Linked DNA regions of Pelodiscus sinensis. The protein of the gene in region 1 interacts with the protein of each later gene in a pairwise test. Links are inferred from orthologs where the notes say so. Each region holds a gene or a part of one and is shown in the gene's direction. Other genes may lie near its edges. The genes, in order: PUM2 and DAZL.

Region 1 (16,158 bases):
TAAGAAAATGGTGAAGTCTCTCTGGAGTGTCCTGGTTTCCCTTGAATCTAAAATAAATCGAACCACACGACAGGGGAAGGCCTGGGGTCTGCTTGACAAGGCTACTGGCTGGGAGTCAAGCTGTTAAGTCTCTCAGCCAGAGCCTGCATCTAGCACCCTAACCTTTGCTCCCCACCCCACATAACCCCAACGCTCTTCCCCCCCACCTCACCCATATCACCTCACAGATCCTGTACCCCAATCCCCTGCCCCAGCTCACAACTCAAACCCCAGCAGCCCAGTCTGCTGCCCAAGTCACAACTGCCTCCTGCCCTAAGTCAGTGGTGCTCAATCTTTTTTAATTTTTGGGGTGGAGGAAAAAAAAAGCCAGCTGGAACATTTTGTTGCAGCCCCTTTAATGTGCCGGTCTGACCATGCTGCGTGCACGTTGGATGCCGAGCCGGGAAAACAAAATGGTGGCCAGCCCGGCGCTGTGACCCCCCAGGAAGACAGCCACGACCCCCTTCTCTAGGTCACAGCCCAAACTGCTCCACCCCCCTATAGCATCCTAGTCCCCTTCCCCAGGTCACAACCCGATCTCCTGCACCCTAGTTTCTTGGAAAAGAGAGAGAAGTGTTCATGCACCCCAGCATATTGAGGGCACTCGAATATTTTCCCTCTTTCATCACCTCAATCAGTTAGTAAAAATAGGTTGCATAACAATACACTGATGGCAGAGACAAATGGTCTTTTTCTCAGAATGATTATATTCATTAACGAGGCTATTTCTTTGAACTTCCAGTGCTTTTTAATAAAGACTAAAAGTAGAATACTTATCTACTTATAATTTTATACAATATGTACATGAATCAAATTTAATCTAATCTTATTTACAGCTTCAGCTATACTTTGTAGTAGGTGCACTATGTGATTTTAATTGCATAAAGTACGGGTATACTCATTTTGAAGAGCTACTGCAATTAACAATTCAAAACTGAATCGGAGAAAATTATAGTCTTATTGAGACATCTATTATCTAAAAAAAGATCAGATTGTAGCTGCTTATCAGTAAACCAGGTGGAATCATCTGAGGCCAAGTAATACATAATCTGAAAGCCAGCTGCTGTTATCTCTGCTTTGGGTTCATGTTCACATACACAATATTATGTCATTAGCTACTCACCCTCTATTACAATGAATAGCCATCTCTGACTGTTGTGATGTTGAGGTATGTTTATTATGTACATCTATTTATATCCCATGCTATTAAGGGGAACTGAATGACTCAGAAACAAAAGTTGGCCTACTGGGGAAATCAGTGTTCTAACTATAGATCCTGGTTCAGTCTGCAACCTAATCCTGCTGTGCTCTGCACTACTGTAAAGGAAGTTTATTTGTGGTAACTTGTCTTTGGTGACGATGCTTAAGTTAGGATTGTACACTTGACTCACTGATCTTTCACTTAAAATGTCTGCAGAATGGTGTTATTCAACTTATTAAAAACATAATAAAAACAATAGAGGTAAAGCCAACTAAACTTTATAGAAGCCTATACATTTATTTAAAAATTACAAATCTAGCATATGACCAGCTGTGAAAGTATTGCCATTTGGTTGTGAAAATTCTGCCTCTTGTAGGTCCTTCCAGTAAGTGGAGAAACTGATGATGGAGTCTAGTATGTTTTGATGCAATTTTATTTCTTAACAAAGAATGTACAAAGTCCTCTTTCTCTGAAAGCAGACAGAAGGAACCAAAATAAAAGAAGATATTTTCTTTGCTCACACACCCAAACTTCTTTCAGCCAGCAAACCCCAAAATCTTTCTCTGTAGGCTTTTCTCAGGGTTGTGCTACCAGCTTTCTATTCCTTCACTCCCTCTCTGGCTTTTCATTCATACCAATGCATGCTCTCAATTCCAAGCCAAAACTCCTCTGCCCACATGGTTCAAATTCCTGAGTGGACACACGTATGCCTGTGTTTTAGGCTGGAGATTGCTTAAAATATAAAGGGCGGTGGTTACACCTCATCTAGGACAATATAATGTAACGCAGCACCTATTATTATTTATTTTATTGGTATTATTTTAGCAGTGTGCCTAAGTGCTCTAATCATGGACCAAGACCCCATTGTAGTAGGCGCTGTACATACAAGGGGAAAAAAGACAATTTCTGCTCAAAGGAACTTAAACTCTAAATAAGACAAGAGATGACAAATAGTTACAGACACACAGGTGGGAAGCGCAAGGAAACCATGAGACAATAATGATCCTTTTGGGCATCCTGGGGAAAGGAGAGTTTTAAGGGGAGTTTTGAAGGAGGATAACATATTAGTTTTACAGATATTTATGGGGAGTTCCTTTCTAGTATGAAGGGTAGAAAGGGAGAAAACACAGATGTGCTTCTTTGAAAATTTAAAAAGTTGGCAGTGTCGGCTGGTATCAAGAGCCCATTGAAAGCCCTTTTTACAGTGGATCAGAACTTACAGGTAGGTTAGGTATAGGCTGTGAAGGACCTTGGAAGTGAAGACAGCAGAGGTGAAAGTAACTGGGTGTGCCTTGGTGAACAACTCTGGAAAGAGCTGGCTGAGCTATGGCAAAAGCCAGCAGGCAGCTATTAAAAGAGCTAGCAGGGACCCGAATCAGCCACTGTGGTGAGTACAAGAGGTGACGTCAGCTGCTGCCCCATACCAGCCCCCCCAGGTAATGCCCAGTGGTAGAAAAAATACCCAAAAAAGTTACTTGGGTAAAAGTACTGCTACTTTGAAAAACATATAATGAAGTAAAAGTCAAAGTGTCCTTCTGGAGGACTACTTGAGTAAATGTACAAAAGTATTGCATCTTAGTTGTACTCAAGTATCCAGAAGTAAAAAGTAGCTGACAAGTTTATAGTAACAGACCTAGGCTGGAGGACTATAACTAAGAAGGAGAAAGGCAGCTCTAAGGCAGCCCTGGTCAATCAGGAGCAAAGGAGATAGGGCTGCTGTTGATTAATCAGGGTCAGCTGATCTCACCTGAGGATGTCATGGAGCCTTTAAAAGGAACCCACCCTTCCCCCCCTTTTCAGTGGGGGTGGAGAGAGGGAGGAAGTGGAGTGAGAAGAGACCTGAGCAGACTAAGAATGGCAACAGTGCCAGAGATAGCACAGTGGATGTGACAAGCTCCAAACAGGTGTTTTAGGCACAACTTTTCTGGGCAGCCTGAGACCCCAGCTGAGAGCTGAAAAGGACTGTTTTGGCAGCCCAGGCTGTCCACAGAGCACTGGCTCCAATGCCCTTGGTGGCTGAGGGACCAGAGCCTAAACCCTTCCAAGGGCTGGTAATTCAGTATGGAGCTTGCCCAGTGAAGGACTGAGCAGGATACTGGGACCCAGGAGTGGGTTTACCCTGCCACAAGTGTGTGTGTGTGTATATATATATATATACACACACACACACATTTCAAATCTGAAATTTAAATGTAGTCACATCCTTCATTTATAAAGCTAAAGAGTAACCAAATTAAATACAGGAATCAAATTACAGAAATGTATTTATTTTGTTCACATTCACAAGTGTGCATTTTAGCATTGTAATGATTAATTACAAAAATGTTTGTTCAACCTTAAAAGCAGTTGATTTTCAAAATGATCAGAGTCAAGTCTTGCTCTCCTAGGACAAAATATGAGTCCAGCAACACTGAAGAGTCTCTCACAGGCAGCTGAGGCAGGCAAAGGTGTGTTGGACCTGATGGACACCTCCTTAAGGCTATGTCTACACTACACTGTTCTTTTTTGGAAGAGGCTTTTCTGATATTTGGCCTGCCCATACTGGGCCACATGTCGGAAAAAACCCTTTTTCCGAACATCCCTTCTTCCTTGTAAAACAAGGTTTACAGGGATGCTGGAAAAGCACGTCTGCTCGTCTGAAAATTTTTTTGGAAGAGAAGATGCATTCCCTGGATGCAGCAGAGTTTTTCTAGGATACCTCTGGAAAAATTCTGTAGTGTAGACATAGCCAGATTGTAGGAGAGGATGGCAGCATATCCATAGGCTGTGTCTAGACTGCACCCCTTTTGCGGAAAAGGGATGCAGATTAGACACAGCGCAATTGCAAATGAAGCGGGGATTTAAATCTCCCCCGCTTCATTTGCATGAACATGGCTGCCGCTTTTTTCCGGCTTGGGGCTTTGCTGGCAAAAAGCGCCAGTCTAGATGGGGATCTTTCGGAAAATAAAGCCTTTTCCAAAAGATCCCTTATTCCTCTTAAAAGCAGTGTAGACGGGGCCATTTTGCGCAAAAAAACCCACCCCTTTTGTGCAAGATCCTGCATACCTCCTTTTTTGAGGCATAAGAGATCTTGCACAAAAGGGGTTTTTTTGTGCAAAATGGCCCCGTCTATACTGCTTGTTTTTGCGCAAAAACCCCTTCTGCAAAAAGCTTTGGCAGAGAAGAGGCAAATGACAGTGTGACAAATGCTAATGAGCGCTTCATTTGCATTGACTCTGCCAACAAAAGGCTGCAGTGTAGATGTAGCCTGCATGACGATTGGATGCTTTGTGCACGTGGTTGTGCTTTAGCAAATCAGAATGCTGGTTTGCACCGCTGTCAGTGGGGTGATCAAAGAAGTGAGTAACTAAGAGCTTCCAGAAATGATAGTGGAGTAAAAAGTACAATATTTTCTAAAAAAAAAAAAACCCTACTTGAGTAAAAGTCAAAGTATCACAAAAATTACCTGAGTAAAGTACAAATACTGAAAAAATATACTAGAGCAGTGTAACAAAGAATTTCTACTTAGTTACTTTCCACCTCTGGTAATGCCCCAGGCTGCCTGGGCCCCACAGATAACAGGAGGTACTGTCTCATCCATAGAACAATTGAGGCTGCTGCTGTGGGGTCCCCTGAAGCATGAGGCCTGAGACAACTGCCCAAAACTGTCCTATGGATGGTATGGCACTGTAATCAGACGCCATTTAGGTAGAAGCTGTTATGTTGCATTCAGCGGCAGGCCGAACATATGAAATACAGGTTATATCTCTCTTAACCGGGACTCTGGTCTGGCAACATCCATGGTCAGACAGAGCCCAGGAATAGGGAAGCCATGGGAAAGGAGCAGTGTGTGGGGGGGGGGGGGGGGGGGGAAGGGAAGGCTGAGACTCAGCCGGAAGCCAGAGCACAGGGCGCAGAGGGATGGGTGGCACAGCAGGGAGTTCTGGCCCCTGCAGCCAGGTGGTAGTGGGGGCCCAGCAGTGGCAGCCAAGGAACTCTGGCCCTGGCCATGGAGCTTGGGGGCCAGCAGCAACAGCCAACGAGCTGCAGTCCTGGCCATGGAGCTCGGGATGGCAGCACCAGCCATGGAGCTTGGGAACGACAGTGGCAGCCACAGAAGTCTATCCCCAGCAGCAGCCAGGGAACTCCATCCCTGGCTGTGGAGATCCAACTCCAGCGAAAGCCATGGCCAGACAGGCAGCAGTGGGGCTAAGTTGGAACCTTAGCCAGGGGCCGCAGGACATGTAGCAAGCGACTATCTCCTTGGGTTCAGGAAATCCCCTTGGTTGGAACCAGTCGGATCTCCAGGGTACTGGACAAGGGATGTCCAACCTGTAGGAATTGACTCTCTTCCTACAGCTGTGTGTCTCACTGATGTTGATGATGCTGATACACGAGAGGACCAAATAAAGTAAAACCATGTTGATGTGTGGTTCATAAGAAACCCCTGGAGAGTGCTTAGGAAAGCATTATCAATTATTAATGCCTTAACATTTATATCCTAGCATTTTTATTAAGTAGCTCAAAAATGCATTGTCAAATTAAACTATAAATAAGTATTTTTAAGTTTCCCTTCAGCAAAAAAAAAAAAAAAAAAAAAAAAAAAATAGAAGTGGCATTTTTTTGGTAGTGTGGACTTAAAGTTTGAATGCTGCTCTTACTGTGATAAGTTTCAGTTTTATTTTTCAAATCACTTTATAATTGCATTTACACATTTTTCTATTTTGCTTTTTTCATCCTACAAAGGACCAGTCAGACCAGGTAGAGATCACATATATTTGTTTGTGAAACTTATGCTGATTAAAAAAATACTTAGCTCTTACAGGTATGTAATATAGCATTTTACAAGCATTAGCTAATCCTCACAAACACTATTGTGCAGTAGAAAAGTGTCTTTCTGCCCCCATTTTACAAATGAAGAAACAGGAGAGGTTAGCAGAATATTTTTAAGTGATCACTAATTTGAGACTCCCAACGTGAGTTTTTTTTTCCAGAGGCGCTGTACAACTTCCTCCAAAGTTCACAAATCCTCTCAAAAATCTTAGAACTGCCTGTAAATTATGCACATTTTGCTTATGGCTCCCAGGAACTGTTTTGTCTCCTGGTTTGTCCATAGTGTAGCAGTGCTTCTACAATGCTTCCTTTCCTCTAAATAGGCCTCTGTGCTGTGAGGTTAGTGCTTTGGGAACCACTCTATTGGTTCTAAGCCACCTGGGAAATCCCCCTCCAATGTGGAAATCCCCATGGAGCTGGTTAAACTGGATTTACAGAACTTGCTATCAGTAGAGCCTTCCTAAAGACTGCGTTTGGACTGAGATTTGGGTCCACTGGTAATCATGTGAGTAATGCTTGAAAGAATGGATGTGCGGACATCCAGCTTTGGATATCAATATGTTTGTAAAGAGCTGTTCTGTTTGAGATATATATATATACATATACATATATATATACATATACATATATATATATATCACAATTAGCTTACATTGTAAGATTTTTTCTTATTACTATTTATTCCACAATTTCTTGCGGAACCCCTGACGATGGTCCACGGACCCTCGTTGGGAAACTGGCATAGGCACACACTTTCTTCTTTCATGGGAGGCTGTACTCATTTTTTTATTTAAATTAGTTAATGTTAAGACTGAATACACTTGCTTATTGTTTATGTAAAAGAAATCAATGGAGCTTCTATTTACTGATGTTTTGGTTAGATGGGTTGCTTTCTGGATCACATCTGTGCCTGTGTCATGCTGTTGGGAGACAAAAGAATTGGTGTGTAGGTAAAATCAATTTTTTGTTTTGAAACCATAATTTCTTGGTGAGCTGAGGCTTGACCATCCTTTTTTTCTTTTACATCTCTCCGCTGGAATGAACAGTTTCTCATCTGAGGAAGTGGGTTTTGCCCACGAAAGCTGCAAGACTACTCGTTTTTTTTTAAATAAACATGGCTAGCCCTCTGAGGTTCTCTTTATTGATAATACCCATGCACGTGCGCACGTTTCTCCTTCTACTGGCCAAATTCTGCAAAGCTAGCTGAATCTCTACGGCCGCTGCATTACAGAAATTCACCCCTTGCAGCCCAGCCTCGTCTTATTGGGTGGGCGTAGGGTTTCACTGTTGTGGCTAGTTCAGGTCTTTCTCTTCCAGTGACAACTTGCGACACTAGCCGTGCACTCCGGCGGGAGCTGGATCCGGCCCTGCAGCATGCTCACATCCCAGGCGGTGCAGGCGAAAGGAACAATGGGGCGCTAGGAGTTCCGCGTTCGGCACGCCACCACGACCTCCCCCCCCCCAACCCGCCTCACGCACGCGGGGCCGCTGGCACATCAGAGCGCGCGCAGACGCCGCGCGCCAACGCCGCTGATAGGCGCGCGGCGGAAGGGACTCGAGAGTTCCTGCTGCCCGCCCCGCCTCCGTCTCCGGCCGCAGCGCGCCTGCGCAGTGGGGGTTGCCGCGCTCCCTCTGTGTGTGGGTCTCTCGCCATGTTGTTGTGAGTCTCTGGCGGCTGAGGTGGGGGGAGGGGAGGAAGGAAGGAGAGACCCGGAGGGGGGGGCGGCGGGGACAGGGGTGTTTCAGGGCCCTGTCCGGCTCCGTTCCAGGGAGCAGCGCCGCCAGCCAGCCCGTGAGTATCTCCCGGGGCCGGGGTAGCCAAGGCCGCGGGGGGGGGGGAGCGGCAGCGGGCGGAGCCCCCTCGCTTCAGCCCCCTTTGTCTCGGGCCTCGAGGCCGGTCGCCCCGTTGGTCGGGGCCTGGTCGATGGCGGCTGGGCTCTCCTTTGTGCCGCTCGGCCCAAGCAATCCGCCGGGCCGCTGTCGGGAGCCGCACAAAGGGGGTGGGGGCGGGAGAGGGAGCGAGGTGGGGGAGGGGTCAGAAGGGGGGCGCATGCGGGGGAGGGGTCGCCTGTGGGGGGAGGGGGCAGTCTGGGCGGAGGGGGAGCGTGCATGGTGGAGGAGGGGAAAGGGATATTCTGCAGGGGAGGGGTGTGTGGTGGGGGGAGTGTTGTGGGGTGGGGGATTGCGGTGTGACCCTTTAAACGCCTTCGGGATGCTAACACCACACACCCCCTTTGGTGAGGGAGCTGCGTTTTAGGTGAGAGGGGAGAAAAAGCCTCGGTGAGTCGTTTACGCCAAGGCATAGGATTTAGATCAAACCAGAGGTGAACTTGTGCCTGAAAAACAGACCTCTGAGGCTGGGAGGGAAAGGGTGGCAAGGAATCAAGAGAGCAGTGGTCACTGAAGGGCACAACTGAGATCTAGGCACAGGAAATATTTTGGAAATGCGAATAAGGTTTTTGAATATCTTTGAGCTTAAGGCCATAAGGGACCATTAGACTATTTAGACTGATCTCAGTATTTCACAGGTTATTCTATCTTCTTTATTGGGGATATGTAAGTCTCTCTCTTTTTTTTTTTTTTTTTAAAGGCACGTGCGGGTAGGGAGCTTAAATGCATATTTTGTAGTTGATGCCACACAGTGAAATATTGGATTTTATTTTTTCTTTAAAATTTCCACAGACAAATAACATCAGAGGAAATGTTATTGGAACATATAATACAGCTACGTGCGGAGTGGATCACAATTTTATTTGATGACTGCTGATGATGTTTAAAACTATTAGCAATCATTATACAGGAGATTTTTTTGTTATGAAGTTTAGTGTGTGTACTTAACATCAGATTATGTCTTTAATGCTGTGAAAGTGATACTGAGTATTTCATACCCGTCTGGTGTATGAAATATTGTACAAAGCAAGAAAATGTCAAAATATTAAAACATGTAATATGTTTTATATGGTGGCATGGTTTTTAGAGGTTTTACCAACCTGCGTTTGGGATGTGTCATTACCACCAAGTGATAAAGACATGCATGAGGTATATATAGCATTGCAAATGAGTGTCCATAAAAATCTTTATACAAAACATTTGTACATTGTCCATAGGTTGCATATTAACAGAAATTGGTTTTGGAAATGTATGTTGTTCATGGTCTTTTGTGTGCGTGCGTGTGTGTGTGTGTGCGCACGCGCATGTGCATGTCCCACAATGGAATGATTAGGGTTCTTTACTTACCATGATTCAAAGTTTGTAGGTTCTTAAGGGGGAGGAAAATGAAAACAAATACATTTTTCAGATCTCTAAATATACCTGAAATGTCTTATTTAATATAAATACTGCTGCTAATTTTAATGTCTGGATGGCTTTAATGTCTACATCCTTCTGGATCTTCCTGGATTTAGAAGCAGATATTGTGTGTGTTCTTGGAAAGCTGGGGATCTCATTTTTGCAATGGTATTAATAGGTGTTGGATCTTAAACCTTTCACTGGTCCATGACTGAATACTGTATCGTAAGTATTTTTAGTAGGTAAAGGTGGTGAGAAAATTAGGATGGGGAAAGACTGAATTCTGTGGCTTTTTTTTTTTTTTTTTTTTTTTTTTTTTTTTAAACAAAGCATCTGGCAGCTGCTTGAAGATGCTCATGGGCTTGGAAAATTAGAAGTAGTCCCAGAGGAGACAGACCTAATGGGCAAATGCAGGTAACAGGGTGCACTTTTATTGCATGAATATTACGTGTATACATACACGTGCTATTTTAATATTTATAATTTTTCCATGGGGTGGGGGGGATAGAATGGTGACTAGGCAATTACAATAATGAAAGGTGAGAAACCGTTATTAATTCATTGTAATGGTGTTTGACCAGGAAGAGTGCAATTAACTTCCTTTAAATATTAAATGCAGTGAAATCTGTTATAGCTAATACATTTTTATTGGTAGAGAGAGAGAATCTCATTTTTCCTTGTCTTGTGGGAAAACAATAATGTAGTGTTACAATATATATTTAAGAATGTTGTTTATTGCCTGATTGTAGGAGCATTAGACAGTAGGTAGCATTAGACCATAAGTAACTTCTTTCCCATTTGTTTAGATGTGTGAGAGACTGTGGGTATACTGGGGGTTAGCATTAGCAGGGAGTTAGTTTGAAAATCCTAACTTTTTTTGGTTTTACTTTGTCTGCTTTCCGCCTTTCTTAGGTGTGCATGTATGTGTGTGTACTAATACTTTGTGTGTGTAAAACTGTCTAAAATACTTTATCTTGAGAACTCAAGTCTCTGCTTTGTATAGTTTCTGAAACGTTACAGTCCCAAAAGCTGGGGACAGATTAGTTGATAATTTCCCTGTTCTGTTTGTTTTCTCTGAAGTGTCTGGCACTGGCCACTGTCAGAAGATAGTATGACCACTGGTTTGATTCTGAATGGCCCTTCTTAAGAACATAGTTGTTAGGTGGGCAGAAAAAAATGTTCGGTCAACTTTGATTATTTCTATTAACATTGATGCCTTCTTTCTAGTGTACAGGCATTTTGATAGAAAGATATTGGCAGTTAACATTTTGTAGACTAAGGGAAAGAAAACAGATCACTTCTAAATGAAAACTTCTAAAATGACTATAAGAGCGTGATGGGTAGGTCATATAGATACTGCTTTGGTTGTATAAGGTGCATTCATAAGAATGAACTATATTAATTGCTCTTTCCACTTCTGTTCTTCTCTACTTAAAAAATAATTTTAGTTGAAAAATACTTCCCTCATCCAGGGTGAAGTTTTTCCACCCATAGCACAACTATTTTATTGCTTACTCTACACGTTTGAACCATTCCAGCATTGTCAATAAGCCCAGAACCCAAACTCTGTGAAATGGCACAAGAACAAAATAATTGAAAGGCTTGTTTTCTCTTCCTGTAACAACATATTACATTCGTATAATGCCTTTTCAAGGCACTTCCTTGTAATATAGTAGAAGTACTGTACAGCTGCAGTCCTATAAAACACCTTCAAATTACATAAAGTATATACAGGTTCTAACTGTCTGTCTAATTTCCAGTAGATATGTATAAAACTTTTTTCTTTCTGGTAACAGCTTACATATTGCTGAGACTTTATTTTATGGGAGGCTTACTTTATATCTCCTTCAGAATTTGTCAGCATTGCTTCTAGTTGATAGTATTTCCCAGAATGTGGTGTGGGTTACCTACTTGGTGAATCAAAATTAGGTATTATTTGTAGAAATATCATTAAAGGTGTCAGTAAAGTTGATTATTAAACCCTGATGCATTATCCATTCTGGAAGTGGCTTTTGGAGAGCTAGCATGTACATAATGAAGATAAAGTTCTGTGAAAGCAGTGGGATGGCCATCCTAGGTGTCGAGAGAGGAGTAATGGGGGAATTCTGCACAACCGCACATGCACAGGATTTAGGGCACCTGCAGATTTATTTTCTTCCCTGCAGAAAAATGACTTTCTGATGGTGAAGAAAAGAGAAGCCACAAGAATGATCATGTAGCCCTCCCCCCCCCCCCCCCAACAGTATGTTTTGGGTGCCTAGGGTAGCCAGTGGAGAGAGAAATCACTGTGGGGTAGGGGCAGGGACTGGGGAAGACCCAAGCTACTGGCTCCTACCCTGTGCCAGGCTCAGCTACTAGTTTCGACTGAGATGGGGAGATCAGGGCCCCATGGCAGGCCCAGTCTGGCACACTGCAGGCAGGGGTGCTCCAGGCTCCCTACCCATTTATTGGTTAACCAGTTAGTCACTTAACCTGTTAAACATTATGTTTAACAAGATGAGACAAGGGACTCTTCCAGCCCAACTGGAGCAGCTTGCAGGTCTCCTGCTACCAGCTGGCTGCCAGCATCTAGCTGCGTGGGGCTGGCTGGTTGCCCTTCGGGGCTGAAGCAGCCCTCCGTCTGCAGCAGGCCATGGATGGGGCTGTCCTGGGGAACTGGTTAACCATTACCTGGTAAGCATCACAAGGTAAGGGTGATGCTTACTGGGTAACCTGTTACCTGTTCACATCCCTTGTGTGCTCCCAAGTACCATGCCGGGGTTCCTACATTTGTTTGACAAATTTTTAAAATATTGTGCAAAAAATTTAGTTTTCTGGTGCAGAATGCACTGAAGAGCAGTGATCCTTGAAAGCTTGTGTGCTTGTGCAGCTGTTCAGGAGAGATTCAAATTAGGGATGTTAAATTTCAGTTAATCAGCTAATTGAGTAGTCTATGGAAATTCCATCAGCTACTCGATTATTTGATAAGGGGAGTGCTTGCTATCCTGCTGCACCTCTCCCTTTGAAATGTACAATTTCTGCCTGCAGCTCCTGTACATTTCAGACGGAGGGATGCAGAGGGCTTTTAAAACAGCTCCCCCCCAGCATCAGCTCATGCTCCCTCATCGCTGCCTGCCTCTGATAGAGGCTGCAAAGTGGGGGAGCGACTAGTCATGTTCCTATTTGACTACCTGATTACGCATTTGTTTATCAGGTAGTCAACTAGTTGCTTACATCCCTAATTCAAATGCTTGCCCAGCTGATTAGCAGAATACCCACAGCTAGGCTTTTTGTTTTTACTAGTGGTACATATTCATACTTTTTTTTTTTTTTTTTTTGTATGTGCACCAAGCAATGTCTGCATGTGGATGGAAAAGATTAGAGAGCATTGCTCAGGAGTGATATAAAGATCTCTGAAATGCTACACCTACAAAACTATTGACTGTATAGATAAGTGCAGGACTTCTATCAAGTACAATAAGAATAAGTCCAAAACAAAATATTGTGACTTGAACATGCGCCTTGTTCAATATAAATGGTCATATTAATATTGTGTATTGCAGTATTTTAATATTTAATATGTATTTTAATTAACCTATGGTACTGTGATCTTTTTTCTTATAAATTGGACTTGGTAATCTGTGAAAAAAATTGACAGTTTAATCAGATATTTCCAAATAGGTCTACAATTTCACCAGCTAAAGCTCAATTACTAAATTACCAGGTAAAGCTAAATTAATTCTCACTGAGCCAGTGGTAAGGAAAATTTTGAGAAATCGACACAAATTACTGTACTGACTGGCTTTGTTTCCATTGTATCTCTTTCTCTATTACTTACATGTATCATAAATCTTTGATTTTCTGTTTTTATGTGGGGAAGGGGCAACAAGGAGATGGTAAAGGTTGACATAGAAAATCTCAATCCGCAGATTACTTTTTAAATATGAAATTGCTCATTTCAGTGTCAGGTGAGCATACATTTTTAAATTATAAGTGTACTGTACCAAAATACTTTTAAAATTTAGTTGCTTTATACAGGCAGTCCCCAGGTTACATACAAGATAGGGACTATAGGTTTGTTCTTAAGTTGAATCTGTATGTAAGTCGGAACTGGCGTCCATATTCAGCCGCTGCTGAAACTGACCGCCAGTTCTGACTTACATACAGATTCAACTTAAGAACCCCAAGTGTCCCCAAGTCAACTGCTGCTGAAACTGATCAGCGGCTGATTCCAGGAAGCCCGGGGCAGAGCAACTCTGCCTCGGGCTTCCTGTAGTCAGCGCTGGTCAGTTTCAGCAGCGGCTGACTTGGGGACGCCTGGGGCAGAGCAGCTGGAGTGCTGCTGGGTTGCTCTAGTAGCGCCGCTCCTCGGCGCTACTGGACCAACCCGGCAGCACCCCAGCTGCTCTGCCCCAGGCGTCCTGATTCAGCTGCTGCTGAAACTGACCAGCAGCGGCTGAATCAGGATGCCTGGGGCAGAGCAGCTGGGGTGCTGCCGGGTTGGTCCAGTAGTGCCCAGAGCAGTGCTGCGGGACCAACCTGCAGTGCCCCAGCTGCTTTGCCCCAGGGTCCACAACAAAATCCTGGTCTGCTGGGGGGGGCACACTAGCTGCGCGCGCCCCCCCCTCCAGCAGACCAGGGACATGGGGAGCAAAGCCGCAGTGGCAGTGGGGTGCCGCGCCTCTGAGGCTTTGCTCTGGCAAAGCCTCAGAGGTGTGGGACCCCGCCACCGCTGCTGCTTTGCTCCCGGTGTCCCTGGTCTGCTGGGGACTGTCTCCAGCAGACCAGGGGCACTGGGAGCAGCTTTTTTCGCCCCAGAGGTCGAGGTGGCTGACCGCTGCCTGCGAGCTCCGGGGCGAGAGAGCCCCGTTCGTAAGTGCGGATCCGACATAAGTCGGATCCGCGTAAGTCGGGGACTACCTGTATATAAATAGTATACAAACTAGGAATGTAAAATCAATTTTAATTAGTTAACTGGTCAAACATGCCGCTGGTGAACTGCTCCAATCCGGCTGGAGCAGGCTCTGTTTGGGGTGGGCCTTGGCCTGGGCACACCATGGTTGGGGGCTGCTCTCGGCACACCAAAACTGGGTCTGCTGCAAGAATGGGGGCTCCTCTGCCTGGGCTGGAGCCTCCCTCCTCTCTGCCCGCCTGTGGCAGGCCCTGTGGAGCTGGGGCAGCATGCTTCCTGCAGCAGGTGAGGGCTGTTCCATCCCCCACCAGCTAACCATAACTGGTAAGCCTCACCTGGTAAAGGTGATGCTTATTGGTTAACTGGTTAACCATTCAGATCCCTAATACAAACCTTTAAAGCAGACTCTTTTAAAAAGGAAAAAGGTGGTGTTGAAGTTAAAAGTGAGGCTGTTACGCAAGGTGTATTGAGTTTCTTGGAGCCATGAGACTCAAGTAATAAATTTTCACAACATACATTTTAGCAGTCACTTGGAGTGAGTTTTGTGACTGTTCATTAAGGAAAACAATCTTACTCATAATTTTTAGGCGTGGTATTGTTGATGCATGGTTATATTTCCAGTATAGAATATATCGGTAAATTCTTTGTTCTGTGAATGTTGCTTTGAGGAGTTTGTCATATTGTTGAGTTTGAAGAAGTCTCAGAATTAGTACCATGTTTGCGCAGTGCCACTTAGGTGAAGTAAACAGGTAGTGTTATAATAAATCTACGTATAAGCAGCATTAGTCTTAAAATGGTCATAAATGGCCACAAACCATATTCAGAGGTAAAGCAAAAACCTCACTTCCACAACATGGTTTTTTTTTTATGTTTATACATGGAGGAGGTGTTAACACTGGAAATAAAATATATGTATTGAGGGATGAGAAGTGAGTCCTCAATTTTATGCTTAAACTCCATTCTGGCTGAGAAGCTTTCTGCATACAAGTTTTCTCCATTCAGGTTTTATACTGTTCCCCTAAGCCAGGGGTCCCCAACCTTTTCAGGTTGGCGGGCACCAGGGGGCGTGGCCGTTCGCCCGCCAGGCGCCAGGGTGCGGGGACACTTGCCCGCCCGGGGGCGGGGCCCCCCCCCCCAGCCGCGTGCCCGGGGGCGGGGCCCCCCCCCCAGCCGCGTGCCCGGGGGCGGGGCGCCCCCCCCCAGCCGCGTGCCCGGGGGCGGGGCCCCCTGGGAAGCGCCGCGCGCCCGGCGCCCCCCCCCCCCGTAAGCGCCGCTGGGCTAGGGCCGGTGCTTCCCCCCCCCCCTTAAGCGCCGTGGAGCCGGCGCCGGGGCACGCGCGGTGCTCCCGGGGGCGGGGCCAAGGCCGGCACCGGAGCCGGCAAGGGTACGCGCGGCGCCCCCGGGGCCGGGACCGGCCATGCGCCCGGGGCTGGCACCTGCCAGCCCAGATTGCTCCGCGGGCGCCATGGCGCCCGCGGGCACCGGGTTGGGGACCATGGCCCTAAGCAATTATGGCATATATGAAACTTACTGTAAAGCTTCCAGACTGTACTTTAAAATGAAAATAACTGACTATTTTTGTAGAAGCTATGAATTACATTGTAAGGTATCTTTGTCTTATAAATGTGTACTGTTCCAGGTCTCTTTGAATTTCATGTCATTTACAGCTGTACAATTGACAGTACACCTGATGAACTGGACAAAGTGAAAATCAGAAAATAAAAAAAAGCATGATCATTTTGCCCCCTTTAAGAATGGACTCTCCTGTGTTTTATTGCCAAAATCTTCATGTGGTATATGGTTGTCAGTTATACCTGTGTCAAGCCCAAAGTGAAAATCTTCAAAAGGGAGTTGGCAGACTGACTAAAGATTTCAGAAGCTTCAGGGGGTAGCTGTAGGATAACCTTTAAAAAACAACATATAGTCT
Region 2 (16,616 bases), on another chromosome or scaffold:
CCCATTTCACTATGAGGCGGTCAAATACAGGCCAGTCCTGGCCCAACAATACCGGGTACACCACCTTTGCGGCCACCGCTACTTTACAGACTGCTTCCATCTCCCTGTCTGACAGCTTCACCCACTTTGTGGGGTAAGTTGAAGGGCGGCCCGTGAGCATAGGCAGACTTGGCGGTTGCCTAGGGCCCCATCTTCAATGGGGTGCCCGATGATTACGTCACGGCCATTGACGGCCGTGCAGGCGGGGACGCCAATCGCGCCTCCCACCTGGGGCGCCAGCTGCCGCAGCCGGCCTCAGACCACTCCTGGGTAAGTTCTAACGTCCCCATGGATACACTGCATACAAACTGGGGGGCCTGAGGGCTCTTCTTCCGGGAGGAGCTCTGCTGTCACCAGAGTTTGGCTATAGCCCGAATCTACCAAAGCAGCCACCAGTCTCCCCTCTATTCTTACCTGCACCATGATCTTGGAGGGGTCCTGCCCCCGGGCTCGGAGGCTGGCTGCCAGCACTTGTCCATATGAACAATCTATAAAGGGGCAGTCACATTTGAAACGTTCCTCCTGCCCGCACTCATAGCAGGCCCTGTGTGGCACAGGCATGAGTACCATTGGTCGTAGTCCTTCCTCCGGGTGTGTCAGGTTCTCCACTCTACCTTCCCATCCTCTCAGTTGCTCCAAGCCACGCCAGGCACCGTCTCCTGGTCCTCCACTCGATAGGCCGGCGGCCCATTGTCTCCCATGTCCCTGGCTAGGCTGTGCCAAGCCATTTACGCCTTTCCTTTCTGTGGGCTCTCGGGGCTCACGGCCTCTTTCTTCCCGTCCTTCCGCAGTCAGGTAATTCTCCATAATAGCGGCGGCTTCCCCAAGGGTAGACGGTTGGTGTCGCTGAACCCAGGTCCTGCTGTCGCTTGGAAGGATCTGCAAAAACTGATCTAGTACGATCATCTCCACTATTTGAGTGCTAGGTTTCTTTTCAGGCTCAAGCCACCGCCCTGCTACTTTCCAAAGTCACTGGACCACCACCCGCGGCCATTTGCCAGGTCGATATCACTCGGCCCTAAACCACCAATGGTAGACCTCCGGTGTCACCCCCATTTGGTCCAATATGGCCTCCTTCACCTTATGATAGTGTAGGGCGTCCCGAGCCGAAAAACTCCTATACGCCAGCTGGGCGGGGCCTGTGAGGTAGGGTGCCAGTAGTGTCACCCAGTGTTCTTCTGGCCAATGCACCACAGAAGCTACCCATTCGAATGTTACTAAGAAGGCCTCCGCGTCGTCCCCAGGGCTCATCTTCGTCAGGCGGAGCAGCAAGGCTAGCAATGATCCTCCTCCAAATGCCCCCTCCAGGGGTATCCCGGAGGCACCTAACCCTGGCGTGGGAGCCCACTGCTGGGCCCACTTCTTTTGTTGTCTCTGTTGGAGCTCCACCAACTCCCATAACAGCTGGTGTTGCTCCAGTTGCTGGGTCGTCATCTGCTGCAGCAGCTGCGTCTGTTGCTGTTGCTGCTGACGTTGACTGTCAGCCAGCCACTCTAACAGTTTATTCACGTTCATCGTCCCTTAATCCAACTTCCTCCACTACTGCCTGGGTCCCCTGCCAACTCCTATTTGGAGAAAGACAAAGAACGCCCTCTCTTCCCCCCGCCCCCCGCCTTTTTTTTTTGGTGCTTAAATCACCTGTACCCACGTTCTCCACCAGTGCAACAGAGTCCACGGACTGCCTCGGGGGTCCACCACGTGTCATATTCCCTGCCCTGCCCTTCTATGCTTCTTATCCCTCTATGGCCTCCCTTCCCCCAATGTCTATGCCCCAGAGTTCCAGCTGTCCCTGTCACTCAATGTCCGAGTGGGGCTCTCCTCCAGGGTTCCGGTCTCTCCGCTCTGCTCTGGATGGGGCCGGGCGCTCTGGGTTGGGATCTTCTTGGCTCACCCACATCCCTCCGGTCTCCTGCTGGGGGGAACACATCCAGCCTCTGCTCCACTCCTTCTGGCTCTCCCATTCTACCCCCCCCCCACACACACACACTTCCACTTCCTGGCCTCCCTTTAAACTCCCTGCGCTCCGGGTCTCAAGCCCCGCTGGTTTCGGTCACGCAGCCGTGAATGCACAGCAGAGCAGTGCTGCTCTTAGTGCAGGGGTTCAAGCCCCCATCCCACTCCTCCTAAAGAGTAAGAACTAGGACCACCAGATTTGGTATTCAGCTTCCTATTATCTTAACTTAAAGCAAGGTACGGGTTTGGTTGTTCCAGGACAATGGAATGTGCATGGAATGTAATTATCATGAAATGGAAAGGGAGGGCTCTGCTAGCAGTGATAGTTATACTATATAATGACCACATGATGGCAGCAAGGGGCCAAAAATGGGGACCAGGATAGCTATAAACCCTTTGGGCCAGTAGGGGACAGATGTTGAGAAAGGGGGTATGTCTACACTAGCCCCCTAGTTCGAACTAGGGAGGCTAATGTAGGCATTCGAACTTGCAAATGAAGCCCAGGATTTAAATATCCCGGGCTTTATTTGCATGTTCCCGTCCGGTCGCCATTTTTAAATGCCACTAGTCCGGACTAAGTTCTTAGTTCGAATTACCTTTTACTCCTCCTGGAATGAGGTGTAACAGGTAATTCGAACTAAGGATTTAGTTTGAATTACCGTTTAACTGCCGCGTGGACTAGTGGCATTTAAAAATGGTGACCGGACGGGAACATGCAAATAAAGCCCGGGATATTTAAATTCCGGGCTTCATTTGCAAGTTCGAATGCCTACATTAGCCTCCCTAGTTCGAATTAGGGGGCTAGTGTAGACATACCCAGGGACACTGACCTACTACATATTTCAGAGAGTTTGTCTGTTTGTGTGTCTGTCTGTCCCCCAGCCGGGAGACATGCACTCCTTCCTTGGCTGTGCCTGCTACAGCGGCAGTGGCCATGGATAGGTGCTTCTCACCGGACCGCAAGCTGCTGTGGTGAGAGAGGGCAGGAGTTGTCCTCTCTCCCTGGGATAGCCTGCATACTGAACACCTCATCCCTAGGCTCACCCTAGCATAATGATTTAAATGGAGAAAAACAAAACTTTTCTGAATTAAGAACCCGAACAATGCTAGGTAAATCTTCTAGTATAACATACAGGGCAAATTCTACTGTATTTTATACCCATTGTTACACCAGCATCTTCAGAGTTGTGGCAGAGGTGTAAATGAGAACAGATTTTATCTCAATGTGTTCAAACACCAAGTAAAAAAATATATGGGCCAACAACAGGAGTATATTGTGAGACCAGCAATCCCTGCTGAGGTTTATAAAAATTAAAGGATCCAGATTTTATGTCCATGTCACCAGGAAGCCATGACTAAAGTATGTGTGTATTCAGCACATATTTCTACTTGACCCATTAAGTCTGCTGCAAAGTTTTCCTTTCAAGGAATGAATGTGTACTGTTTTTGCTGATTCCTGTTATGCATGTACAAGAGTTTCTTCACTTCTGAAGACAGGAAAAAATGAGATTGCAAAGTTATGGCAACAATTCATTTAAGAGAATGTTTATAATCAATTCAAGAGCTAACTATTCCTCTTTCTTCACTGTCTGACTTCATGTGATATCAGAGTTCAAGAGATCCCAGATTATGAGGTCTAAGTTCAAGAACTTTTTTCCTATTCATTTTGAAAAATTTATTAGTCATTTTTACATTTGTGACCAGCAACCACTGCTAAAAGCTCTCATCTGTTTTGTACCTCATCACTAATTTTTTGAAGCTTATTCCAATACACTTAGGCTACATCTACACTGCCCCTGCTTGTGCAAAAAATATGCAAATGAGGCAAAGCATGGTATATCGCTGTGCCTCATTTGCATAATTTTAAAAAAGAGGAAGAACGGCTCTTGCGCAAGAGGGGGTTTTTGTGCAAAAATGGAGCCTTGTTAATTATGCAGATGAGGCATGGCAATATTCCACACTTTGCCTCACTTGCATATTTTGTTGCACAAGATGGGGCAGTGTACATGTAGCCTTAGGGTACATCTGCACAGCAGAGTTAAAGTTGGAACAAGCTACTAACTTCAGCTACGTCAATTGCGTAGCTTAAGTCAAAGTCGCTTATTTTTGCTTTTAGTGCTGTCTCCACAGCAGGAAGTCGAAGGAAGAACACTCTTCCTTTGACTTCCCTTACTTCTTGTGAAATGAGGGTTACAGGAGTCAGAATAAGAAGTCCTCTATTTCGACATTATTTCAAAATAAAAGCTTGTAGTATAGATGTGCTCTTTGTTATTTTGAAATAATGTCAGTTATTCTGAAATAACGCTGCTGAGTACTACTCAATCATCCAATTCTTTTTGTAACCTTTTTTTATTTTTTAAGAAGCTGTAACATAGAAAAACATCTGGGCTGTGTCTAGACTGGCCAGTTTTTCTGGAAAATCAGCAGCTTTTCCGGAAAAACTTGCCAGCTGTCTACACTGGCCACTTGAATTTCCGGAAAAGCACTGATGATCTCATGTAAAATCATCAGTGCTTTTCCGGAAAAACTATGCTGCTCCCGTTTGGGCAAAAGTCTTTTTCCAAAAGACTTTTGCCCAAAAGGGCCAGTGTAGACAGCATAGTACTGTTTTCCGCAAAAAAGCCCCAAATCGCGAAAATGGCGATCGGGGCTTTTTTGCGGAAAACCGCGTCTAGATTGGCCTCGGACGCTTTTCCGCAAAAAGTGCTTTTGCGGAAAAGCATCCTGCCAATCTAGACGCGCTTTTCCGAAAATGCTTTTAACGGAAATTCATGCCAGTGTAGACGTAGCCCTGTAGTGCAGGTTACATTTCCAGGAATCACAATAATCAGCACTATTTTGATTTGAATACAGCGCAGTTTGAGGATGAGTCAACTGCTGCAATAATGATTAATATATTTGTTACTTGCTTAAAGAATGATTATATTTTAGTTTAATCAACATTTGCATGTAATTGATGATTTAAGACTTATTAGCCAAGAGATCTCACACAAGACGAGAGATTATTCTCATGGGTGTACTGTCCTATGGAAAGTAAATCCAAGCACACTAGTGGTACAAGATTAATATTGTTGTTGGCATAGCTATGAAAGCCTGTTCCATAGTTTCACAGCTCTAACACATCATCAGTTTCCAGCAAAACTATGGGCTTAGGTTACAACAACATGGAGGCCTTAAAAGATACATCTCTGTATCCAGTGCTTTACCCCACAAGAGCTAATAAAGATAAACTTCTATAATTCTATTCTCTTAAAGAACACAGATATCATTGTAGTTCTAAGAATATGACAGTCCAACTTTCAGCACTAAGAGGTTGGCAATATCTCTTAGGTTATAAAGATATGGTGGTCATGCATGGCTATACCATTATACAGGGCTTTTCAATTTATCAGAGAGAATACACTGAAGGTTAGCTAGGGTGGATTGACTATGTTTCTGTGTGTGTAATCCTGACTATCTGAAGAGACAAGTGATTATCTGGATGATACGGGGTGAAGCCATAATTTCCCTGTTCTGTACATTCCCTCAAAGCATCTGGTATTGTCCACTGTTGAAGAACAGGATATTGGGCTACCTAGACCATAGGTGTGACTAGTATGGCCATTCTTATGTTCTCTTCCTCTAAGTTCCTACTAAATTAATTACTTGGTGTTAGCAGATGTATTTTGAGCGCTGTGAGCAACCATTCTATTTGAATTTCTTATTCACATAAGGCTTGAGACTCTTTGGTTTACACTATGGTGAGTTCTAGCCATACCTGCCTACTATGGCAAATGCACAAACATGAGATTTTCATCCTAGCTCCTCCCCACATCCTTGTCCCCAAAGTTTCTTTTTGCTACCTGACAAAATAAAAAGAGAAAGAAGAAATATGTTTGGGTGTTTTATTCAAGAAAATAACAGTCCAAAAACTTAGGGATGTTTCACTCCTGTGTTATATTTCCTTCTAATCATAAAATGTAATATGAACCTTCACTATATGGGGAAATCTTCACTTATTGTATACTCTGCATTGCTGATCATTTGTGTAACTGAATAAAATACATAAATAGAGATTGCACTTTTTGTTCTGTTTAGGTAATTGGAGGAGGTTTAGGGGTAGTTTTATCAGTGACTGTCCTCTTTCCAGGTGATTTAAACCCAGTATGACTGTTCTTATGTGACACATGGTGGAAATGTTCATGATTCAGGCCCTGCCCCCATCTCTTCAGGACAGGTGTGCAACTCACCCTACCTATGCCCCTCCCAAACTCTTCCTACAATCCAGGAGATGGGAGTACAGTATAAAAATCAGGTTCCACGGCAGAGATATGACACAGTGACTTGAGGGCTATAATGAAAGTTGAGATGATACTGATTGAGCTTCGATGTTCTGTCCTTTATGTTCAATACCAAAGATCTCAGACAAGTTTAGATTAGATTATTAGTTGGCCAGGGAAGCAAAATTATAGAGAAAATAAAGGGTTGTTTTTCTCTGCAAGGTCTTTCCATCAGCATTATACTAACACAACAGAAAATTACTTCAAAAGGTTTTCAATTAGTATCAATTCTCCTCCAGCATGCTTGACCTTGCCATTCTGCAATGGGTTTAAATTGCAGACTAGGACATTAGGAAAAACTTCCTGTCAGGGTAGGTAAACACTGGGGGTAAATTGCCTGGGGAAATTATAGAATCTCCATCACTGGAGCTATTTAAAAGCTGGTCAGCATTGGTCTACATTAGGATTGGGCAATCATTTTTTTGCCAGGTGCCATTTCAAAATTTTTGTAAGTGGCCCAGGATTGCACCAAAAGGGGCGGGGCTTCAAAAGGAAGGGGTGGGGCCAGGAGGCTTCAGGCTTCCCCACCCACAGACCATGATTGGCCTGGGGGTGTGGGAGCCCTTTTGCTCCCCCTTCCCACTAAGCACCCATGTCCCTGGTGGTGGGAAGAGAGTTCACATGCTCCCCCGCCCCCAGGCCAATCAGGGCCTGGGGAGCACGCGAAGCCTCCTCCCGCCCTGCCAGAAGTGCGCAGCACTTCTAAGTGCCATGTGCGCCTCGCAAGACAGGGGCAAGGTGGAGGAAACTGTGCATATTTTCCCCCACCTCCAGGCCCTGATTCTGCACGTTTCAAAGGGGCAGTGCACTTGCCAGCTGATCCTGGGCTTTGTGCAGCATTTCCCCAGAACCTGGGATTAGGTTCCACTGTAATGCTGCGCAGAATCAGGTCACCTATAGTTAACATTCCTAGTATTGACCTTTTAACTAAGCCATTGACAAGAAAAATTGTTAATATTCAAGGAAGGAAAGCAAGGAAAAAGATATGGATACAATCAGAAAAACTAGCTAAACTACAGCTTGTGGATATTTGGAGAGAAATGCAGAGGAAAAATTATATTTTTACTCTGAGTTGCATCTCTGTCTCTAGAATTGATTTAATTTGTACTGATAGAAGTAATCTTCACAGGGTAGAACAAAGTGAGATAAATTATATCATTATTTCAGATTATGCCTCTGTGTAGGCTTTAATGAGCAGTTCATTGGGACCAAAACAGACAAAGCACTGGGTTTTTATGACAATTTATTGCAAAATGATAATACAGTTAAATAGCACAGAGCAGATATCAAAGAGTATATGTATAAGTGCACATCTGTGAGTCCACCTTCACAGAATAATTTCCTGTCATTGTGGCAATAAAAACAAGTGGCATGAGATTAGACTGCAGTATATTTAAAATTATTGAGAAATAAAACTGGGAATTTATGGGATAAACAGTTTAAACAAGTTTTACTCAGTGGGAATGATCAAGAATTCCTGCAAACTTAAAAATAAAAAGGAAAGAAAAAGCCTATCCATATCTAGGTAGAAAGGATGGGGGCACAAAGCAAGAAATAAAGAGCAGAAAATATCCAGGCCTTGATGTGTTCTTCACTAATGTGGATCAATTTTAAGGGGGAAATATCTCTCTATTAAAAAGGATTTTGTTGAAACTATGAAAATTGTCCCTAAGTTGACACAAATCTATAGGTTTAAAACTTAGGGTAAATCTTTTAACCACTGCATACATCCCTTTAGCCAATGTCAAATATAGATTTAAAAATCCCTGTAAATAAATTAGTAATGAGGATCACTGGAAAGTTGATTAGTTGTGACCAAACAAGATTTAAAGCTACCAAGCAGTCTCTTTATACAATTTGAGACGAACAGTAGGCTTTAATCCTCCAAAAAGATTGTCATGGACAGACTTTTGTGCCAGCATATTGTCCCCTCACTGGTCTTAAGTACCAAGATCTTTTACTTCTTTCTTTTGACTGAGTCCTGGTCTACATTACAGTATTGGTCAACATAAGGCAGATTTGAAAACCAGCTCCCAGGGCTTCCTGCCAGGCTGCTGCCAGTCTCTCCACTCTCTGCTAAGAGCATTGCAGCCAACAGGCACAGATCTCCCCACAGGAAGCCCAGTTGCCGTCCTGGGGCGCTCCACTCCTCATTGGGAACAGAGCAACTACACCAGGGTTTCTCAGCTCCCTGACAGGAATGGTGCAGTTTCACAAGGCTTCTCAGCTTCCCATCAGGAACAGGGCAGCCATACCAGGCTTCCAAGCTCCGCACTGGAAACAATGCAGCTGCACTAGGTTTCTTGACTCTCCACCAGGAATGGAGTAGCCAGCTGGACACAGAGCTCCCTACCAGGGACTTGCTTGGCCAGCCAGGCTCTTAGCTCCCCACCAGGAGCATAGCAGCCAACCAGATTCCCGTCATTGCTCTTCCCACCAGAAGCCCGTCCTCCCTGCCAGGTTTTCAGCTTCCTGAAACACACTGAGAGCATAGCTGCCTGGCCAGGGAGCTCCAGTTAGGTGCCATGGTGGGAGAGGGGGCACCTACCCCATTCTTGGTGGTGAGGGGAGCCAAAAGGAGAAGACAGATGGTTCTCTTATCTCAATGAAAGCACTCCTTATGAGGATGTGCACCACCAACTGAAGAATAGCGGTATGGACATGAATGTCTGCAATGCTCTTTTTACTTTTTAAGCCTGAGCCCTATGAGACTGAGTGCAGCTGATTTTTCTGGGCAGTGCAGATGTCAAAAAACCTATGACTGGCCCATGCTAGTTGATTTGGGCTAGTGGCTGTTTTGGGACTCGGTTTAAGGGGCTGTTTATTTGCAGCATATACATTTGGCCTTGGGCTCACATAGTTCTAGCACCTTCTGAGGAGGCAGCCCAAGCCCAGACAGCTACACCTCAATTAAACAGTCCCTTAGTCCAAGCCAGTCATAGGTGTCTAACTACATTGTAGACATAACCTTAGGAGACTAGCACAGAGATTAAGCAATGCTCCCAGACCTCTTGACACTGAAGTCAATAACAGAACTCCCATTGGCTTTGAATGGAACAAGTGCATCTCAAGATTTGCTAAGAGCGAGTTCCCTTTTAAAAATAATCTATATTCAAAAACAATCCCTTCAGTTTGAAGGTGATTGTTAAAGCGAAGAAAGCAAACAGAAACCTCATCTCCGAGGCCATGTCTTTGATAAGCAAGGACCAATTAAATAAGAACGTTTCACAAAGAGTGGGTGTCCCAGTAAAATTAACACTTACTGAGCAAAGTGCCTCCATTGGATGAAATGAGATTATGCTGCAGAGCAAAACTTTATATCCTTTTTACTGGCGGTGGAGGGGGAAGCCACAGGTCAGGCAGTAAAATACCGTTCCTAACTCCAGAAAGGTTAGAGTAAAATCCACCCCAAACCTACACCAAATGAAAGGAGAGGTGGGAACACACAGGGAAAAGCCCGTCTTGGAGCAGGCAGGCAGACAGACAGACAGACAGACTGCCTCCCTCCCTCCCTCTTCCTGGGTACCCCGCTGGGTGTGGCCTCTCCCCGCCCCCTTGGCCTCTCTCTCTGATGATTATCTAGAGAGGCGGCGGGGCCAGCGGGAGGAGCTGCTGTTTTTAGGGGGTGGGAGGGAGGGAGCTGGTGGGGTCAGTTTTTAAGCACCCCGCGGTTTTTAGACGTGCATGGGCGCTGCCCCGCGTGTGGGGAAGGATGGTGAGTGGGGCTGGCGGCTAAGGGGGCTGGGAGAGGGGGGCCGAGGCCGGAGATCGGCGGCAGGAACCTCGGCGGGGAATGGGATTTGGCGGGGCCCAAAGCCGCTGTCCTGGTCGGGCTGGGCTGCAGCGCTGGCGTCCCTGTGGAGACGGGCTCGCCCCGGCCTAGGGTGGCTGAGGTGGGCGGTCCCCCGCCCCTGGCATGGCTGAGGGGCCGTGTGGGGTGCAACGGGCCGGCTCCGCTGGGGACAGGGGGAGAGAGCCGCGCGCGGCGCTGGCCGCTGAGACGGGCCCTGGGACGTCGAGGAGGCTGGGCCATGCCTCGCAAGCGCCGCCATTTTGTTACACCCGGCTTGCGACGCCGGGCCCGTTCCGCTCGCTCCTTGCCCCGGCGCGGCGGCAGCCCAACGCCCTGGCGGGTGGTGCTGCGGCCGCCGCCCCTTCCCTGGGGCCTCCCCGCGCTTCGGCCACGCAGCCCCCAAGCCCCCCACTCACTGCGCCAAATGGCTCCCGCCGCCGCCCGCCCCTTGTGCCGGGGCCTGCCCCGCTCCGTCCCCTGCGGGTGCGGGGGTCCCGGCTGCTTCCCCGCGGGCCCACTGGAGAGTGACAGTGAAGCCCCAGCCCGTTCCCTCAGGTGCTGGGCGGAGCAGCCCGCAGGCCTGGGGAGTTTCGCTTGCTTGCCTCGGGGCTGGGCTTAACCAGGCTCTGGACGCGTTTCCCTTCTCTAATGCCCCATGGGGTGGAGGCTTCAGCGCCAGGGCCCTGTTTTCTCAGGTCAGTCTGTCTGTAGCAAGCATCTTCAGGAGAGGCGTCAAACCCCCTCTGCCCTCCTTGTGGCTGGTGCGCGCCCCATGTGAGGTCAAAATCTGCAGACCCCTGGTTTAATTTGAAACTCATGCTTCTCCTGGCAGGTTCTCCTCTAGCAGGCGTGGATGCAAGCACGCCTGGAAGTGTTCACTTCCACTCCTGTTGTGGAAATGCAGCACAAAGCAATTCAGATTTGGGTACATTATATAAGTTACATATATTTCAGCTGAGCCAAAGCTTTAGTTTGAATCTTTTGACCTTTTTCAAAAACAGTTTCATATTATGAGTTTGCAACTCATTGCTGCTCTTAAAAAAAGTGTACTTCTCAGATGTTCATGTTGAAACTGTTAGAGGAAAAAAGCAGGCTTTAGTTTCTGTGTCAAAACTGAAAAGGTCTTGTTTCTGAGAGGAATTAGCTCACACTTCTTACTTTAGGATGCACTAGAATATATTTAGCTCCCATATACAGGTTAATCATTTACTAAATAATAATATGAAGACTTTCAAGAAACAACTTGATGTTGTTTGCACATCTTTCTGTAAATCATGCTGTTGTCTGGGAGTAGTAGGGTGCTGCATTAAGCTTGTGGTGATGCAAACAATAGGACTAAACTGGTAAAATAAAGACACTAGAAATCAAGAATATCACTTGCAATATAGCAGTTGTAGTATTGTAATTATGAAAATGTACTGTGCTTTGTATAAATATGGGACAAAACTACCTTTCCTGCAGGTGTGCATGGAAAGATCTTATTACTGGCTTTAACATATTTTAAATGGTGACACTAATTTGTGACCTTTGTATTCTGAAGCTGATTGTTTATTAATATTTCTATTGTTAGTAAAATAGTAAATTTAGTAGTGTCTTGCCTTTCATGTTTAAATGCAGTTTTGCTCTTCACACTTTCATTTATGGTAGCATGACACTACTATTTTTTACAGCTACTGTAACGAGTTGCTAAACACGCAATCCAAAAGTGTCTTCCTGTCATATTAACAACTTGATCGTATATCAACTTTCAGACTGTACGAGTTCTGTTAAGTATTCAATTTATAATGGTCCTTGTGGCAACAGGGTGTGCGTGGCAGAGCAGAGGCCAGCTACCATGGGGAAGGAGTCTCCCACCATCTATACACCCCCATCCCCACTCTCTGCCTTGCAGCTCAGTCCCCAGCCATAGCTCTGCTCCAGACCCAGGTGCAGTTCTCCTCTCTAAGGCCAGCATTACCTTCAGCCCAAGCTCCTGTGCTGAGCCATCTGTACAATAATGGAGTGGGCTTGTGGACATACTCCAGTACTGATAAGGGGAGGTGAAAAAGTTAGGGCACCTCATTCTCCCCATTCAAGATATCTTGTATTATCAGGCACATTTATCGTAAACTGCTTTGCTATTAAATTGAACTTAACAGTGGAACAGACTTTTTCACCTTCAGTGTTAGTTCCAAAACTATTTGCTAGATAATCTTTTTCATGTTTCCAGCCTCTTTATAAGATTACCGTATATTCCGGCGTACAAGACGACCTCTGAAGTTAAAAAACATCCCCCAAAAATCGGGGGTCGTCTTGTACGCCGGATGCCCCGCCGCCGGAGCCCCTCCGCGGCTTTGAAAGCCTTGGGGGAAGCCGGCGGCGGGGCATCCCAGGCGCGCATGGGCTGCCCCCCCGCCGGAGCCCCTCCGCGGCTTTGAAAGCCTCGGGGGAAGCCGACGGGGGGGCAGCCCATGCGCGCCTGGGATGCCCCCCCGCCGGCTTCCCCCGAGGCTTTCAAAGCCGTGGAGGGGCTCCGGCGGGGGGGGGCAGCCCAGGCGCTCCTGGCGGCTTTGCTCCCGGTGCCTCTGGTCTGCTGGGGACCATCTCCAGCAGACCAGGAACACCGGGAGCAAAGGAGGCGGAGGGGCACTGGGGTAAAAGATGAAACCCTATCTTTTAATTAAAAAGATAGGGGGTCGTCTTATACGCCCAGTCGCCCTATACGCCGGAAAATACGGTAGATAAAAGTAGAGGTTGAGATAATTATAGCAGGGGTGGCCAAACTGGCTTGTGAGCCACAGGCAGCTCTTTTAGGGTATGTCTAAACTACGTCGCTTTTTTGATAAAGGGATGTAAATTAGACATATTGAAATTGTACATGAAGCCAGGATTTGAATTTCCTGTGCTTCATTTACATAATGGCGGCTGCGGCTTTTTTTCGAAAAGCTGCTTTTCCAAAAAAAGAAAAGTCAAGATGGAGATCTTTTGACAGAAGTGCCCCATTTTGAAAGATCCTGTAACCCTCAAAAAATGAGATTTACAGGATCTTTCGAAATGGCATTTCTCTCAAAAGATCCCTGTCTTGACCATTGGGCTTTTTTTTCCCAAAAAGTGGCTTTTGGGGGGGGGGGGGGGGGGAAGCCGTGGCCGCCATTATGTAAGTAAAGTGCAAAAAATTCAAATCTCAGCTTCATTTATAATTTCGATATGTCTAATTTACATCCCTTTATTGAAAAAGGGATATAGTTTACATACTTTTAGGCTACGTCTACACTGGCACCCTTTTCCGGAAATGCTTAAAACGGAACAGTTTTCCGTTATAAGTATTTCCGGAAAAAGCGCGTCTACAAGCACTTTTTCCGGAAAAGCGTCCATGGCCAATCTAGATGCGCTTTTCCGCAAAATAGCCCCGGTTGTCATTTTCGCGATCGGGGCTTTTTTGCGGAAAAGACTCCTGTGCTGTCTACACTGGCCCTTTTCCGGAACAGTTTTTCCGGAAAAGGACTTTTGCCCGAACGGGAGCAGCATAGTTTTTCCGGAAAAACACTGACAATTTTACAGTAGATCGTCATTGCTTTTCCCAAAAAGCAAGCGGCCAGTATAGACAGCTGGCAAGTTATTCCGGAAAAGCGGCTGCTTTTCCGTAATAAGTGGCCCAGTGTAGACACAGCCTTACTGTTAAAAGTACAGCTCAGGAAGTCTGTGTCTCCTCCCTCCCCTTCCCCCTACTTCTTGATTTACAAGATTCCAGAGGAAGAGACAATTGTTCTCTGTAAGCTGTGCGCTTGTGTGTCTGTTCAGGAGAGATTCGGATGCCACCCACCCGATTAGCAGAGCACCCACAGAGCTAGGTATTATGTTTCTATTGGAGGTGCACATTCACAAATGCCTTGGTGCACATAAAATATTTGTTCCACACATGGATTGAAAAGATTAGCGGGAACATTGTTTGGGACTTCTGCCTTGTGGTGGGAGTAGGAGCTTTTGCCCAGTGGGGAGGGTGTTCATAGAGCTCCTGACCAATGGATGCCTCCCAAAGGGCAAATGCCCTGAGCAACTGCCTCTGTTAGTTGTGCCCCAGCCATTGAACTTTTGAAGACAGTCAGATGTGGGTTGGGAGGGCCAGTATGTTGGTCCACCCACCCCTGAATTGCAATAAAATAATTGTATTGGTCTACATCTCTGGTGCTCAAACTTTTCCAGTTGTGCCATTCTCCTTTCCCTCTCTTTCTCCCACCCCCAATCAATAATGGAATTTGTCTGCTCTCTTTCTCCAGTTACTGCACAGCCAAGGTTTTCTCAGAAGCAGAGTTTGGTTTGAAGGTAGAGATGGGGATGGAACTGGAAAGGAGGGCACAGCTGAGTCTGGGGGCAGAGAAGGAGCGAGGATGGAGTTGGGCCTGGACCTAGAGCAAGACTGAGGGCTGAAAGGGTCTGAGGTACAGCTGGCCTGTGGGTAATGTGGGGCTGGAAACATAGCAATATCTTCCTGCTCTGTGCGCCCCCTGCCCCCAGAACATTTGTTCCTCCTAACCCCTGTAGGGGACATGCCCCCCACACTTTAAGAATCACTGATATACATAAAAAACCAAACCCCTTTTGGTCTTACAACCAACAACTAAAGTTGACTGGGATATCACCTAGTTTGCAAAAGGTATGTACAGTACAGTACTTGGCTAATAGCTCCACCTGCTGCTTAATGTGTAAACTACACTATCACTGTTACAGGGAGCCATGTTCCTTCTCCCTTTCAGGTAATACGCTGTCATGGTAACTGCAACTCCTGTACATAGAAATGCTACACATGTGGGTCAATGGCAAGAGTATGAATAGACTTTACATATCTTTATATTCTGAGCAAGGTGTGGAAGGGGTAGGATTGAATGCTCCTGGGGCGGGGGGGAAGCACAGGAATATTGTTGCAGTGGGCTAGTTGAAGCTCTAGTGAGGATCCAACAGAACAGTTGGTTAGATTTGTTCTTTTTTTCTGCTTTGCCTTTCACAAATATAAACTCTGCTTCATTATCAGTATTGTAAGGTATAACAGACGCCCTGCCTATTCAAAGGGAGAATAGGACCCGGTGCTAGCAACAATGCCTAAATTCTTAAATTTGTGATTGTCGTGAAATGTTCTCTATTTCCTTTCCCATTTGTCATCTCTTTCTGTACATATGTCTATGGCTCATAGTTTTTATATCAGTTAGTACTTTCAACTATCTCTCTGCTTTTGAATATACTTTTTTCCCACAAAATTTTCCAGGCAGCCTGGCTGCACTCCTTGATCTTTGGTTCCTGTGGTGATGGCCAGCCAGTCTAGGTCAGAACTAAGGATGTTAAGGACTAGTCAACTATCCAGTAAGCAAATGCTTATCAGATAGTTGAGTCAACTAGTCGATTTCCCCCCCTCCCCCCGCTCCCTCCACTTCGCTGCAGATCGAGGCAGCACAGTGGGGGGGAAAGAGGGGGTACTTCAGTGGCAGCACTGTAAGGAGTTGACCCCGGGCTCCATGCAGTGCTGTCCCTTTGAGTCCCAGCTCATCCCGGATTCTGCAGAAATGCCACACAGAGCCCAGGATCAGCATTTCCATGAGGGCGCTTCTGCTTTGAAATGCACAAGAACCCCCGCTGGGGACTCTTGTACATTTCAAAGCTGGCACTCCCATGTGCAGCCCGGAGTCAGCTGGACTTTACCTTGGCTCCAGCTGCACGTGAAGTTCTACATTCCTCCTTTGAAATGTACAAGGGCCCCTGGCTTGCATTGGGTCCCCCTGCTACACTTCTGATTTTTAAATGTATTAAAAGGCAGCAGGCTCTTAATGCATTTAAAAAGCAGAGGCACAGTGTCTAGGAGTGGGTGCAAGCCAGGAATCAGCTGACTTTGGCTTACATCTAGTTCCCACTGTCCCCTTGCTCCCCGCGGAGCTGGTCCTGGGGTGAACGGGGCATGAGCCGAAGTCAGCCAATACCTTTTAAGCCAGCTCGCACCAGCTCCTTCTCCCTCACCCCTTTGCTGCCTTTGATAGAGATGGAGGGGAAGGGCGGGAGCAACTAGTCGACTACCCGATAAGCAAAAGCTTATCAAATTGTCTACTAGTCCCTTACATCCCTAGTCAGATAGATGGCTGTAGTAAAACAGCAAATGGTGTGATGCTGTAATAGAAATATTGAATTGATTGGTATTTTGGAATCTGATTTCACATAGACCAGACTGAGACGAATGAGGCATGTTACCCCACTACACTTAGAGATATTGTTACAGGCTGTGAGCTCACTCAGGGTACATCTACACAACAGTGTTATTTTGGAATAACCTCAGTTATTCCAAAATAACAAAGAGTGTGTCTATACTACAAGCCTTTATTTCAAAATAATGTTGAGCTGGAGGACTTCTTACTTCAACTCGTGGTAACCCTCATTTTATGAAGCATAAGGGAAGTCAAGGAATAAGTGTTCTTCCTTTGAGCTCCTGCTCTGTAGACGGTGCCAAAAGCCAAACTAAGCTATTTCGACTTAAACTACGCAATTGACATAGC

Evidence for each region.
Region 2: the proteins of PUM2 (region 1) and DAZL interact in a two-hybrid assay, tested with the Homo sapiens proteins (2 studies listed by BioGRID and IntAct). The link is inferred for Pelodiscus sinensis from reciprocal best matches to the Homo sapiens genes PUM2 and DAZL.

What each region holds. Positions count from the first base shown.
Region 1 is NC_134713.1:18,479,160-18,495,317, forward strand, and holds the start of PUM2 (pumilio homolog 2), read left to right. Parts: upstream 1-7,709; 5' UTR 7,710-7,844; intron 7,845-9,670; exon of another isoform or gene 9,671-9,748; coding exon of another isoform or gene 9,749-9,754; intron 9,755-16,158. UniProt on the Homo sapiens protein: Sequence-specific RNA-binding protein that acts as a post-transcriptional repressor by binding the 3'-UTR of mRNA targets.
Region 2 is NC_134712.1:193,717,387-193,734,002, forward strand, and holds the start of DAZL (deleted in azoospermia-like), read left to right. Parts: upstream 1-9,859; 5' UTR 9,860-10,023; coding exon of another isoform or gene 10,024-10,026; intron 10,027-10,936; 5' UTR 10,937-10,957; coding exon 10,958-11,029; intron 11,030-16,616. UniProt on the Homo sapiens protein: RNA-binding protein, which is essential for gametogenesis in both males and females. Plays a central role during spermatogenesis.